3 linked regions of the Coturnix japonica genome follow. The protein of the gene in region 2 purifies or fractionates together with the protein of the main gene of each other region. This does not show direct contact. Links are inferred from orthologs where the notes say so. Each region holds a gene or a part of one and is shown on either strand. Other genes may lie near its edges. The genes, in order: ASAP1, ARHGAP12 and TJP2.

Region 1 (4,257 bases), about 110 Mb from region 2:
TTGACTGCAATGTGTCATCTGATTTACTAAGCTACAATGAGGCAAACAGATACTTAGCTGAAGTATTTCAACATAGCTCTAAATTAGCTCAAGAAGCAAACTTCAGATATAAATTTTCCTAGCATTTGGGATAATTTATTTTCCACTATATGGAGCAACTTGTAAAGCATGCAGCCTGAGATTGCCCTGGATTCCTGCTCAGCCCATTCTCAGGTCTAGTGTGTGGTGAATGCACAGGGATTTTTCATGTGCAGTGCAAATGGGTGATGTAGGAGGTGAGGGCACATGGTGACTTTGGCTCAAGCAAGGACTGCTTTACCCAGATAAGCAGTCTTACACTATTCTCCAAAACCATTAGTGTTGCAAAGCTGCTACTTCAATCACAAAAGTCTTGTAGTCACCTGAATGCACTGAAGATATCTAACCTATATCTTGACCAATGAATTACATATTGCCAGGGGATTGTCCCAGGGCTGGCACTTGTCAGCATTGTTATATTGTTAGAAAAGTCCCCAGCAGCGTGCAGGGATTAGCATGGGTCAGCCATTCCTCCCAGTAGGACACCTGGTAGAGGTTACAGTGATTTGGAGTGCCAAATAGAAGTCTCAACCACAAAACACCCTCTGTGTAACCGTTTTGATCATCATCTTTAAAAGAACCTGACACAGGGCCAGGCACAAGGGCAGAAAAAGCACATTTTTAATGAGAGTACTAATATGGGGCTCCACGCTGGGCTGCAGGCAGCAGCAGGGCCTGAGGCCCAGCACAAAGGCCTTATCGCTGTTCCTGGGGCAAACCTTGCAGGAGGGCGGGAGGATTACCCAGCCCCATTTGGGCAAGTGCCAGAAGTTGAACAGAACCACCCGAGCAAGCTCAGGCTGCATCCCTTGTTTAGTTTTTGTCTCTGCTTTTGGAGGATTAGTGAGGATTTGCTGTGAAGAGCAGCACTAGTCCCTCCTGCTCTGTCTGGATGCACACAAGCAGCCCGCCCCAGCCAGACTCCTTCCAGCCTTTCAGGTCACTGCCAGCTCCAGCAGAGCAGTGTGGATGCTTTCCTACTTTCTTCTTGCTGGAGAAGCCCCTGTGAGGACATGAGCATGGCTGAGGGCTGCCTGCCTTTGCCCCTCACATACCTGTGTGATGGTGCTCCTGCCCATTCCCCATTGCCTGTTTTCCACCCACTCCAAGGCCATGCTCTAGGTGCTACAGCACTTTTGTTTTTAATTAGGGCTTGATACTAATTGCCTTGAATGAAGTTATTTTCACACCACAGCTGACCAAAGCCAGAAGACGTTAAGTCTATTCCCTTCATAAATCATTTCTCCTGCTCCCCAGGGTGGAGACAAAGAGTGAATAGGCAGCAGACACTGCCTTGGCCTAATTGTCTCCTAAAATATGCAGGCAGCTCCCACAGCAGTCATCAGACAGGCACACGTGCATCTGGGGGGGCTTTGTGTTGGTATCTGTGCCCTCATGCTGAGGGACAATTGCCAGCATCCCCCGCCTACTTTAGCCCTGGATATTAAAGAAGAGGAGGGGGTGTCCCTTTAAAAGCAGACAAAAGCAGCCTCCCCTCACCCCCTGCTATAGTACAAAAGCTGGAAATAAATCTTCCCTTCTTACTGGCTGGGCAGATTCAGGGAGAGAGATGCCAGCTAGGGAACACTGACACAGTTAAAAAATAAAAAGGATTCTGTGAACCAACGCTGGCTTGGCACAGCAGTCAGATAAATCCTACCCTAATCCATGCAAAACCTCCCAAAACAGTCAGTAAAATGCACAGGGAAATTCTGCTGGCCTGAATTTGCCCATTACCTTCATCATGCATGGCCCTACTCCTCGCAGAGCTCCTTGTAACACCCTCCATAGTTTCTGGACCCTGAAACTGAACTTCATCCTCAAAGCTGCGCCTGAACCGAGCCCTCTGCTTCTGTAACACACTGCCTGGCCTCAGGTGATATAATTCGTACCAATGGGGAAGACTTGATTCCTGGTTAAATAAGAGATATCATAGAAAAATAGGGCAGGGTGGGACTCAGAGGAGCTGTCTAGCCTCTTTCCATCAGCTCTAGTTAACATTAGTGAGAGCAGCCTGCCCCTGGCAGACCTGTGCTCACTGTCACCAAGATGCTGCCCCTTGGAGCTGAGATAAGCAAACACCTTTCCTTTTGTAAGCCCATGCAGCTGACCAGGCTCTCTCTGCTCTTTGATAAACATATTCTGCATCCCTGAATTGCAATGATAATTAATGGAGGCTGAGGGCCAGATCTCCACCTGGGAGAAAGTGGCAGGGCTCTGGGTAGGCAGTGGAGCTGTGCTGTTTCAGTTCAGACCAGAGCCTGATCATGCTCCTGAAATCAGTGCAAGTCCTGGAGTCAGTGTGATCCCAGGCTTTGCTCTGGTGTTAGAGGTGCCAAGGAGGAAGACCACAATAGGTTCTCAGTGCTATAGCTGATACAGTGCTCTGCCTTGAACCATGAGCAGGATTAAGGCAGTGAAATCAAGGGAAGCATTGCTTTTCCCAGACTACCCGATTACAGTGAGAAAAATAGACCTCGCTATTACAGAGACAAAGATTAAACACACATACACACATACACACACACACACATAAGAGAAATATTAAAAGTACCTTCACATTTTCACAACGTTGGTGTTAGATTTCTGGTTCTCCTATTTCACAGTACTGCAAAGGATCTTAAGGGGATTGATGGTTCTGCAGGGCAGAGGCTGTGCCTTTATTTTCTTTGGGAAGTACCTTGAGCGCTGTTGGTTCTTGCTACCAGAGAGAAATAACAAAAATCTGAAGGCATAAGACAAATATACTCCTTCAAGAGTTTCTAATAAAATGATAATGTTGAGCGAGGCTGCCAGTATGTTCTGTGTCCAGATGCACTGCAGCAGAAGGGAAGAATTTAGCATGTTTTGAAAATGCCAATTGTCTGTTGCCAAAGATGCTTATGATCCCACTGCCAGCAGGGTAGGCGGTGGGGATTAAGATGTCAGAGGAGACGTCATTCTACCTAGGCAACACCAGTTTCACTGAAGAAGACAATGCAAAGACAGTACTGTTTCCTTCAATGAAGATTCCTTTTTCTCATCTTATATTCTGAGTTTTTCATTGTTGCAAAGCTACTTTTATAGAAGCCCTTTGTATTCCCTGGGATATATTTATGGTGATGGCAACCAGGACACAGGATGGAGGAATTTTTACACCTACAAAAAGGAATTCTGAGGTCTTCCATGCCTGTGAGTATCTCCTGGTCCTCCGCTGCCACATGGGTGTCTGGGATGGATGCTAGTGTTGCAACACAGCAGAGGGAATGTAGCCCAAGGTCATGGCCAATATGTGAGTAAGAACAACAAATGGATCTCCAGAGTTCCAGCTGATGCTCTCAGCGTTCATCTAGCCTGCACTGTAAGAAGAGGTTCCCTGCAGGCTGGTGAAGCCCCTGGCATCCTCATCTCCTAACTGTGCTGCTTCATCCTGGAGAAGAGTAATTTCTGTGTTTCACAGACAGGGTCAAACCCTGCTTGCATGTTTGGCCTTTCTGAAATATCTCCTGATGATCCTGTTTCCTTCAGACTTTTTCTTTCCCTGGTGGCTTTTTCTGGGACATCTGCTATAGGCTGGGTGTGAGTTTGGATCCCTAATCTTGTCAGTGCAGATTTGAGAGGCCTTTTTGTAACCCCTGCCTAGTTCAGAGGTTTTAAGCATTTGCATAAATCCCTCCCCACTGGGCCAGCATTAACCACATGGTTAACCTGAAACATGATTAGAAGCCATATTTCAATGGGAGTTAAGCATATGCTTAAATTCTGCTCTAAATGGATATTTTCTTGAACTGGAGCCTGCATTTTTTTTTTTTTTGTGATCCATCTTTGCTCCTCCACATACCTTTACTGCAAATTATTCTACAATACACATATGGCTCAGAAATTATATAGCTCTGTGGCTTTTACACAAAAAGCTCAATTGATACATCACATACTTAACCTCTTGAACAAAGGAGTTAACTTTACAGGATCAATTTACATGCAAGGGCCAAAGCTTTTGGATGGAAACTAGCTGTCATGTGGTGTGCAGTCGAAAGAGCAAACAGCTTATTCATTTTGATAGCATTGGATTCAGAAACAAAACACAGACGGCAGAAAGAGTCTGCCCGGATTTCCAAACATAACGCATGTCCCTGCTCTAAAGCATATTTATTTAAACCTTCTCTCTGTGCTTGCAGTCAGTTATTAGAATTAACTCCC
Region 2 (3,629 bases):
GCTACTTTAAAGAGGGAGAAATGAATACAGTTCTCCTATATGTGGAAATGGTTACAGTCAGAAGCAGTTGCAGCAAATAATTGTGTTACATACCAGCATTTTCTTGTCCTATCTAATCTGCGTTGTTCTACCTGCTACAGCTGCTTGCTACTCTGCCTTTCTGCTGCGTGGCCTTTTTCAACCCTTTGCTACTGACTCTGCTTATACAGCTGGCTGTGTGAGTAGGAGCAGCAGGAATGAGATGATCTGGGGCACTGGCCTTTATGCATACAGCTAATAATACGATTATATACCAATTGTCTTATTGTATAATTGGTTTGGTGTGCTGTTTGGATTTCCCAAAGCAGTTTTCAAATGCAGATGTTGTTACTAAACATGACAAACGGGCTAGATGCGATGCATGGTGCAAATGCAAGAGCAGTTTCTCTCTTGCATGAGCTCTGAAGTAAAATGTATTAAATACTGCAAAGATGGTCACTTACATGCTGCCTTTAAAAGATAAAATAAAACTTTCTTCCTTTTGAGTGTGAGCTTTGCTTCTCTATTTCAAGACCCTGTTTCAGTCTCATGCATCCAAACCTGGGATGTCATCTGTTATTTGGGCATACGGTGAAACCATGAGTCTGGGGAGCGTTTCAGTGCTAACATCTGATCTGAACAAGAGGAACTGACATGTTGGTGAAACACACTGAGACTTTACAAGAACATGTTCTCTGCCAAAGCTGATTTTCATTTTTGCTCTGTTTGATGATAGAGAACACCCCCGCTGCCTTTTGTGTCATTTGGAGGCCAAGATGCAAAATATCTGAAAGATGGACATTGTCCATAAGTACTTATGTTTGAATTCCAACCTTGAAGCCATGTTGCCTATTCGCAGTCACTCATGCAATCAGAGCTCTGTGTAATGTTCTATCATTTATGTGGTCATTTCAGAACTTAAACATGTTAGAGATGAAGCTCTATATTGAAGCCTTTCTCTGTAAAGGAATGTGTAATTAAATAAAAGCAGTAGGTGTAATGGAGAATAACTTTTTCTTCTCCCTGGTTGCTTTGGGTTAAAGTTTTTCTGTTCAGATTATTTTTTTCATCAAAGATTATGGTAATTGTATTTTGAACCCCAAAGAGGGATGAGGTACAACAGAACATTTGAATCCATTAGATTTCTCAGTGCAGTAATGGCGGTATGATTCTTCCAAGTTTTCTTCCGATGAATTAAAATGATTTCAGTACCAAAAGTTCCTCCCTCAAAGACTCATGTTTGGGAAACTGCTGACACTTTTTCTTTCTGGGAGAGGCTGAGAACTCTTTTCAGAACTTTCCCCCCCTCACACTCTAATAATGCAACAATTGTATCCTGTACTTCTTGCTCTGTGTAGAGGTTTGTTTTAACCTGAACTAGTTCTGTCACTCGAGTCCTGTTCCACTGTAAATCAGTCTCTTTACTTGGTTCCAGATCAAGTGTTTGGTTCCAATCTCACCAGCTTGTGTCAAAGAGAAAACAGCACGGTGCCAAAGTTCGTGAAGCTGTGCATTGAGCATGTTGAGGAACATGGTATGGTGAATCTTTTGTTTGTCTTTAAATCCCTCTTGCTCATCTCGCTGTCTCGTTTTGAATGCTTTAATCCTTAATGTGCTGTTGATTTGTTAGTGGAAATAATCCAATGTGTGTCTGTAGGTAATGTGTTTTTGGGAGTGGGGAAGGTAGCTGGAACCCAGTGTGGGGAGAGGGAAGTAAGTTTTACATCAGAGGAATTGATCTACTTCACTGTCTTACAAGATGAGAACGCTGAACAGCTTTTTGGCAGAAAGGGTTTAAAGGAGCAGAAATTACAAGGAGTCATAGAAGAGCTTATCTCATCAAAGTTTTACTGCAGGTGAAGAGAGACTCTCAGAAGTTACATGTGACGCTGTGGGCTGTCTGCTACCAAGGACTTAATCACATTTTTTTTTGTTGGAAATTCCTTGGTTGTAATTCCTGTCTTGTGTGTACTGTGGGTTGGGCTTCTTGCTTGTCTCTTGCTGTTGCCATATCAACTGAGAGTGGTCTATGGAATCTCCATAACCGTTGATCAGAAGATGGTCTGTTAATTTGGGAACAAAACTTGAGATCAGGATGTTTACAAGGGAATACTGTAAGTGAATTTTAAGGCATTTTCCATGGGAACTTGTTAGGACTTTTTCCAGCATGTTGTCTTTTTTCTCAGTGCTGTTGCCTTGTGTCCTGGGAAGGGAAAAAATATCTGCTTCCCTTCCACTGCGATACTGTAGGTCGACAAACTGCCATCTTGTTTGTAACAGCAGGCTTTATTCCCATTCAAGGTCCACAGTTTGATAGAGAGGGGCTATTTTTCTTTTTTAAAGTAATTTATATTTTAAGGACAGGACTGCAGTGAAGATGGTGGTGAAGTTGTCCTTTTTTAAACACCTGAGGGGAAGCTGACAGAAATGAGCAGCTTTTTTCCCTACTTCCCCAACTCTTCTTACTTCCAAAACAGAAGAAATCTATTGTTTTTGTAAAAAAATGACTAGTGGATTATGGGGAAAAGGGATATGTCAGATGGTGCTGGTAACTGTGCTGTACTGTATCAGACTACTCCACGAGCTACAAGGACTGAAGGTAATCTGGCAACACTCACCCCCTCAGGGGCACTGACTCATGTGCTGCATTCAAGTGGCATTTCAGTTTAATTCTTTACCTGCTAATCAATTCTGAGTAATTGCAGTAGCGTCCACAGAGACAGCTTTCTTCTTTGCTGCCTGGCTGAGTGTTGCAGTACAGTACTTGCCTTTACAGTAGAGGCAAGGGCTACCCATTTACTTCTAAAGGCTGTTGGATAGTGAGTGTGCAGGCACGATGTTCCTTCTTGAAACCTGGTTACTTGACAACTTTGAGATGCTCTGTTCTGCCTGACTTGATATTTCTTAACCATAAATTAAATAATGGGACATCCACAAAATGCTTGGTTCTTGTATGTTGGATCCTGCATATATCCCTCCGTCCACCCGCTAAAAGCATTTTAAATGGCATCTCCAGTCTCACTGGGAAAACTTGAAGCTGTTACCTCATTTACTACTATTCTTCTCCATAGGAAGCTTTAAAGATTACTTGGAGCTTGATGCTGTAAAACTTTTTGTCAGCAAACAAAACCCTCTCTGATGTGCCCTGCCCATCAAAAAATCTAGTGAAATGTTTATTGCCAAACCAGGTTAGCATAAGATTATGTGGGTTGCTTTGGGTTTCAGTTTTACAGAGTAGACCTGTGAGCAAGGAGCCTGATGATTTCAGAACCTGTATGCATGAAAGATTAAAACTGGTTTATCCCTTTATTTTAGGATTAGATGTTGATGGCTTATACCGAGTTAGTGGTAATCTTGCAGTGATACAGAAGCTAAGATTTGCAGTCAATCATGGTAAGTTTTCATCAACTACATTACCATCACGTAGCTTTTCAGGTTGCTGTGACTTTGAGTTTGTAGAGAACTCATGAGGAAAGATTGCTTAATGTGTAACTGCAGCTTTTCTTGAGAAATGATTGCTATCCTTAAAGTTACCTAAAAACTGTGGAGTTTAGTGCATAAAAGCACACACATGCACACAAATACAATGGAACAGCCAAACCCTAACAAAG
Region 3 (4,400 bases), on a different chromosome or scaffold from region 2:
GTAAAGCATCCCTCATTTTTCCAGAGCAAATGTATTCAGGCAGTCAATAGCTACTTGGCAAGCCATGGATGCTGCTTCTCAAATGCAGAGAACCCCATAATGTATTCTTCCAGTGGAAGTTTCAAACACCACAAAATGGAACAAATCTTAAATTCTGCTCAGAGTTCCTGCAGGAAGATGCACGACACTCAGCATTCTTATCAGGAAGTTCACAACACCAAACAACATTAAATGTGCACCAATACTTTTCTCCTCCAAAATGGACAATGCTACCCAGTTTCTAGGACTCTCTGAGTCAAACTGAAAACACATTTAGCAGATCTGTTCAGAGAATGACTTAAATTGAAATTAACGTAAGTACTCATAAACCTGTCTAGAATGATCAGCATTTCTAACTTCCTATTAAAATGTCCATGTCTATTGTCAGAGAGTTACTGTGTCTGATGAAGCATATGGTGAAATTATTTTCTCTGATATTCCCACTTTAGCAATTTACATGCCTAACCTTTCAGCAAGCTGACAGTCAACCATCTCACTACGCAAATTCCCTTACACAGAGATCTCCTGTAGACTAAAAAAAGAAAAAAATCTCCTTATCTGCATGTTTTATTCTGAGCTGCTGTGAGAAACGAAATTACTTGGGTTGCTTGTCTGGCATGTATGAAAACTGATAGTTTAGCTACTACTGACACTAATTTATATCATTTCTATCCTACTTTTCTATATGGTATCTTCAAGCTCTGTGGTCTCTACTAAAGAAAGGCCTCTGTGTCATTTATATTACAGTCGGCTTCAATGAAGAGAATTTTAGAAATAAGAGGATGATTGGTAACATTTAAAGGACAAGCAGCTGGGTTCAGATTTTGTGGACAGGTAGATGGAAAATCTTTTCTCTCTCTTACTGCATACAAGCCCAAATAACTTATGTATGTGGCAAGAACATTATTTAAATTCAATTTACACTGCCTGCAGTCCTTACCAATCCTACTTACCAGCCCAACACACTGCTGAGGCTGGCTTACTTACAAAAGTAAGGCAGGCAGACTGCCCTTATGGGCCGGAAGGCAGCACGCACACCCTGCTCTTCCAGCAACCCTAACATCAAGCCTTCTGATATTCTATCTGCAAAAAGGATCATCTGAGAAATGACTCCTTGTTCAATGCAATGCTGCAGAAAAGAGACTAAGGAGAGTAAAGAGACTAAGAGAGGATCTGTGGGGAGGAAAAAACTGAGCTTACAGGAATTTCCTTCACCAAAACGATGGCTCTAGTGAATTGTGGAGTAAAACCTTGCACATGAGATAAGAGACGCATCACGTAGCAAACGTAAGTGTAGAAACCCAACACAGGTAAGTTTATTTGCTCTGACAAACAAGTCTTGTGATATCTGGTCACAAAAACAAACAATAGGAAAGGAAAAGAAACTACTGCCTACAGATACTACAGTTATGATCCTGTAGGATGTCAAGACAACAGCATCATCTCATCTGTGCCCAGAAAATATTCCTTAAAATATCTGTTACGATCTTCACACACGTTCTGTGTAAATGTGGAGGAGGGGAAGGCCAGGGGCTTTTTAGTCTGGAACTGTTAGTAACTATTAAATAAAAGACACTTAAATAATTCACTTTTAAATTTGTAATTAATACGCTTTCAGAAACTGGTCCTTGGGAAACTGACTCCCAGTTGCTGTATACCATATTAGTGAAGGAAAGTACATTATGTACTTGCAAAGCTGATTTTGTGCAACATAATTACCACGACAGCAGGACCAGCTCTGCCATACTGATAAAGCCATTCAGGATCTGCAACACAGTTCAGAGAACTGAATGGTCACCTTGGAAGCCTGCAAGGCAAAAAACACATCTGTACTCCCTCAAATCTCTCAGCAATAATCCCTTTAACATTATAAAAAAATACCGCTGTATGCTATTGCCACGATACTAACCAACAAGGACAGTTTACTGGGGGAGACTAAATGGGAGGAAAAGACTACAAATGCTAAAAATCACCAGCCACGGACTTATAAAACTATGATTAAAAGTCTCCACGAGAATAACAAAATTCCTGTATTCCATGCCCAATGACATGACTGTCCTCTGTCTGCATCAAGTGATGGGTTACAAAAAACTCCCATCACCCCAGCCAATTTCTTCGCTCTTTGTCTCTAGGGAAACAAGAAAGGATCTGAACAGCCTGGATGTCCCTTGTACAATTGCCATTTCAATGCAAGATCACACACAGAAACACAGGAGAAAGAAAGACAGGGGAAACAGCAGTGTTACTGTTACAGCAACAGTTACTGTTAGTAACTGCTTTTCAAGGTTTTACACAGACAGCAGCATTGCTGCAGGATTGCTGCAGGAAGTACAAGTAACTGTCATTAGCTAGTCTGAATTCACTAGTGACTAAAGTCAGTCCATTCCTAATGAGAGCAGCGCAGTCAGGATTTGCTTAAATCTGCCTAATTCTGAACACCAAAACGGCAGGCACTTTCTACATGGCCAACGCAGACCGCTTAACAGAATCCGTGTCAGGAAACAATTCAAAGTACTAAAATCATCTGTGCGCTACAAGCAGCAACTCCCACTGACAGTCATCCGCGATTTATGCAATTACTTGCAACTGAGAGATAGCCTCAGGCAGCTTCTTTCAGAAAACCACCTCCAGAAGACCTGCCACCACAGTTATTGGGCTGTGAAAGTGAGCTGGAGGGGGGAAGGAGACACAAGCCACACAGGGGAGGGAGGAAAGACCCAGAGCAAGATGCAACAAAAAGCAACTCACGTGCCCCCTTAAAATCCTCAACTTTTTGACCGCATGTGACCACATTCTCTGCAGAGCTTGCGCTGTCTTCATTGTCACGGGATATGATCTGTTCGGGGACGCCGTGCATCCTGGTCTTTTCATCTGTTTCTACCACTCCACACGGTTATGTAATTCTAATACAATAGTGGCCTACATACTAGAACAAATCCTGCCGTCCGTTTCACACAGAAATGCATCAAAACCACAGCAGGGAAATCTACTCAGAGTTTCAGTAACTCTCGCTGTAAGAGGCCCCAGGGAAAACAAAAAAGAAAAAAAAAAAAGACTACATCCTTGATTTTAAAAATAATAGGAATAGTTGTTATTTTAAGTGTCAGAAACAGATCAAAACACAGCAAGTTACTCTTTTTACAAGCACATTTTGGTTCCCTCCCATCACGAACATATCTGAAACTTTAAAGAAACAGGGCACTAGCAACTTCAAAGAAAAAGGCACAGAGAAGCACAAGGATGCTTACTTGAAATTTACACTCTGACAGACATATAACACTTTATAGTAAGATTTACCACTTGGCTCCGTTATTTTGCACATTTTAAACTGTGTTTAACAGCCTCTATCAAGTCTCAACAATTTAACTACTGGACCCAGGAAGTCCTTAGGCAGAAGTAATTGTAAGCATGCGAGTAATTCCTTCACCTGCACATGTATAATTACATTTAAACACTTCCAGGAGTTACATTTAAAAATATCCTGGGGATATGACTCTAGCAAGCAAGAAAAAGAGAAACAACTTGCTCATAACCATGAGTAGTGGTTAGATGTTTGATTGCACAGGAAGTAAAATTTTGGTAATAAGCTGATCATATAGCCTGAAAGATGACCTTACTGGAAAATATGTCAAGCTATCACTTCCATCTAACCCATACAAATGATGTGAGCTTAAAATTCGACCAGAGTTTTCCCCCAGACTTCATGCAAGTCTCACAGGCTGTTTAAAATGTGAAACAGACAGGAACACATAGCAATACACAGGTCAGTATGCAATGCTAAGTGAAAAAGCCCATCCACAAGTTGCATTTCTTCCCAAGATGGATAGTTCTAACTGTTGAAGGTAAACAACATTCAATTGAGAAACCTGGAGTTTAAGGATTTTCCCTCACAAGACTGAATTCAACACCCTATGTTTCAACTATCATCCTGCCAATCTCTGGCAATTTCTTGCAGTAGCCAGCAGAACTGGATCACATGCAGGTTTGCGCAGTTCAGCAGCCCTCGCTGGGCTGCCAGAGCACCTGTATGGTTGGAGGACCTGGCACTGGAACCTGGTCAAAACAGTGGATAATCTTCACTAATGTCTCTAAAGGAAAATAATCATTCTGCAGAACAGACACACTCACAACTTCTAAAATCACATTTTCATCTATTTATTTAAAGAAAAGTGGTAATAAGAAGGAACAAATATAAAGATGTACTGGAGATGCCTCTATCCCTGTCCTTGCTCTCCTGTTCTCTTCACTGCCCTGACAATTAAAAAGGTAACATGAAACAAACATTCCCATTTCCAGTCAGGGAAAATGTGGTAAAAAAAAAATGGGAAAACATTCATCATAAGTTGAAGTATTTATGACAA

What was found.
Region 1: the proteins of ARHGAP12 (region 2) and ASAP1 purify together in Homo sapiens (co-immunoprecipitation; 3 studies listed by BioGRID and IntAct, with this or other methods). This does not show direct contact. The link is inferred for Coturnix japonica from reciprocal best matches to the Homo sapiens genes ARHGAP12 and ASAP1.
Region 3: the proteins of ARHGAP12 (region 2) and TJP2 purify together in Homo sapiens (co-immunoprecipitation; 3 studies listed by BioGRID and IntAct, with this or other methods). This does not show direct contact. The link is inferred for Coturnix japonica from reciprocal best matches to the Homo sapiens genes ARHGAP12 and TJP2.

Annotation. Positions count from the first base shown.
Region 1 is NC_029517.1:126,889,119-126,893,375, forward strand, and holds the start of ASAP1 (arf-GAP with SH3 domain, ANK repeat and PH domain-containing protein 1), read right to left. Parts: upstream 2,904-4,257; 5' UTR 2,633-2,903; intron 1-2,632. UniProt on the Homo sapiens protein: Possesses phosphatidylinositol 4,5-bisphosphate-dependent GTPase-activating protein activity for ARF1 (ADP ribosylation factor 1) and ARF5 and a lesser activity towards ARF6.
Region 2 is NC_029517.1:12,964,731-12,968,359, forward strand, and holds part of ARHGAP12 (rho GTPase-activating protein 12), read left to right. Parts: intron 1-1,453; coding exon 1,454-1,552; intron 1,553-3,333; coding exon 3,334-3,411; intron 3,412-3,629. UniProt on the Homo sapiens protein: GTPase activator for the Rho-type GTPases by converting them to an inactive GDP-bound state.
Region 3 is NC_029547.1:31,075,003-31,079,402, reverse strand, and holds the start of TJP2 (tight junction protein ZO-2), read right to left. Parts: upstream 2,916-4,400; 5' UTR 2,911-2,915; coding exon 2,788-2,910; intron 1-2,787. UniProt on the Homo sapiens protein: Plays a role in tight junctions and adherens junctions. Acts as a positive regulator of RANKL-induced osteoclast differentiation, potentially via mediating downstream transcriptional activity.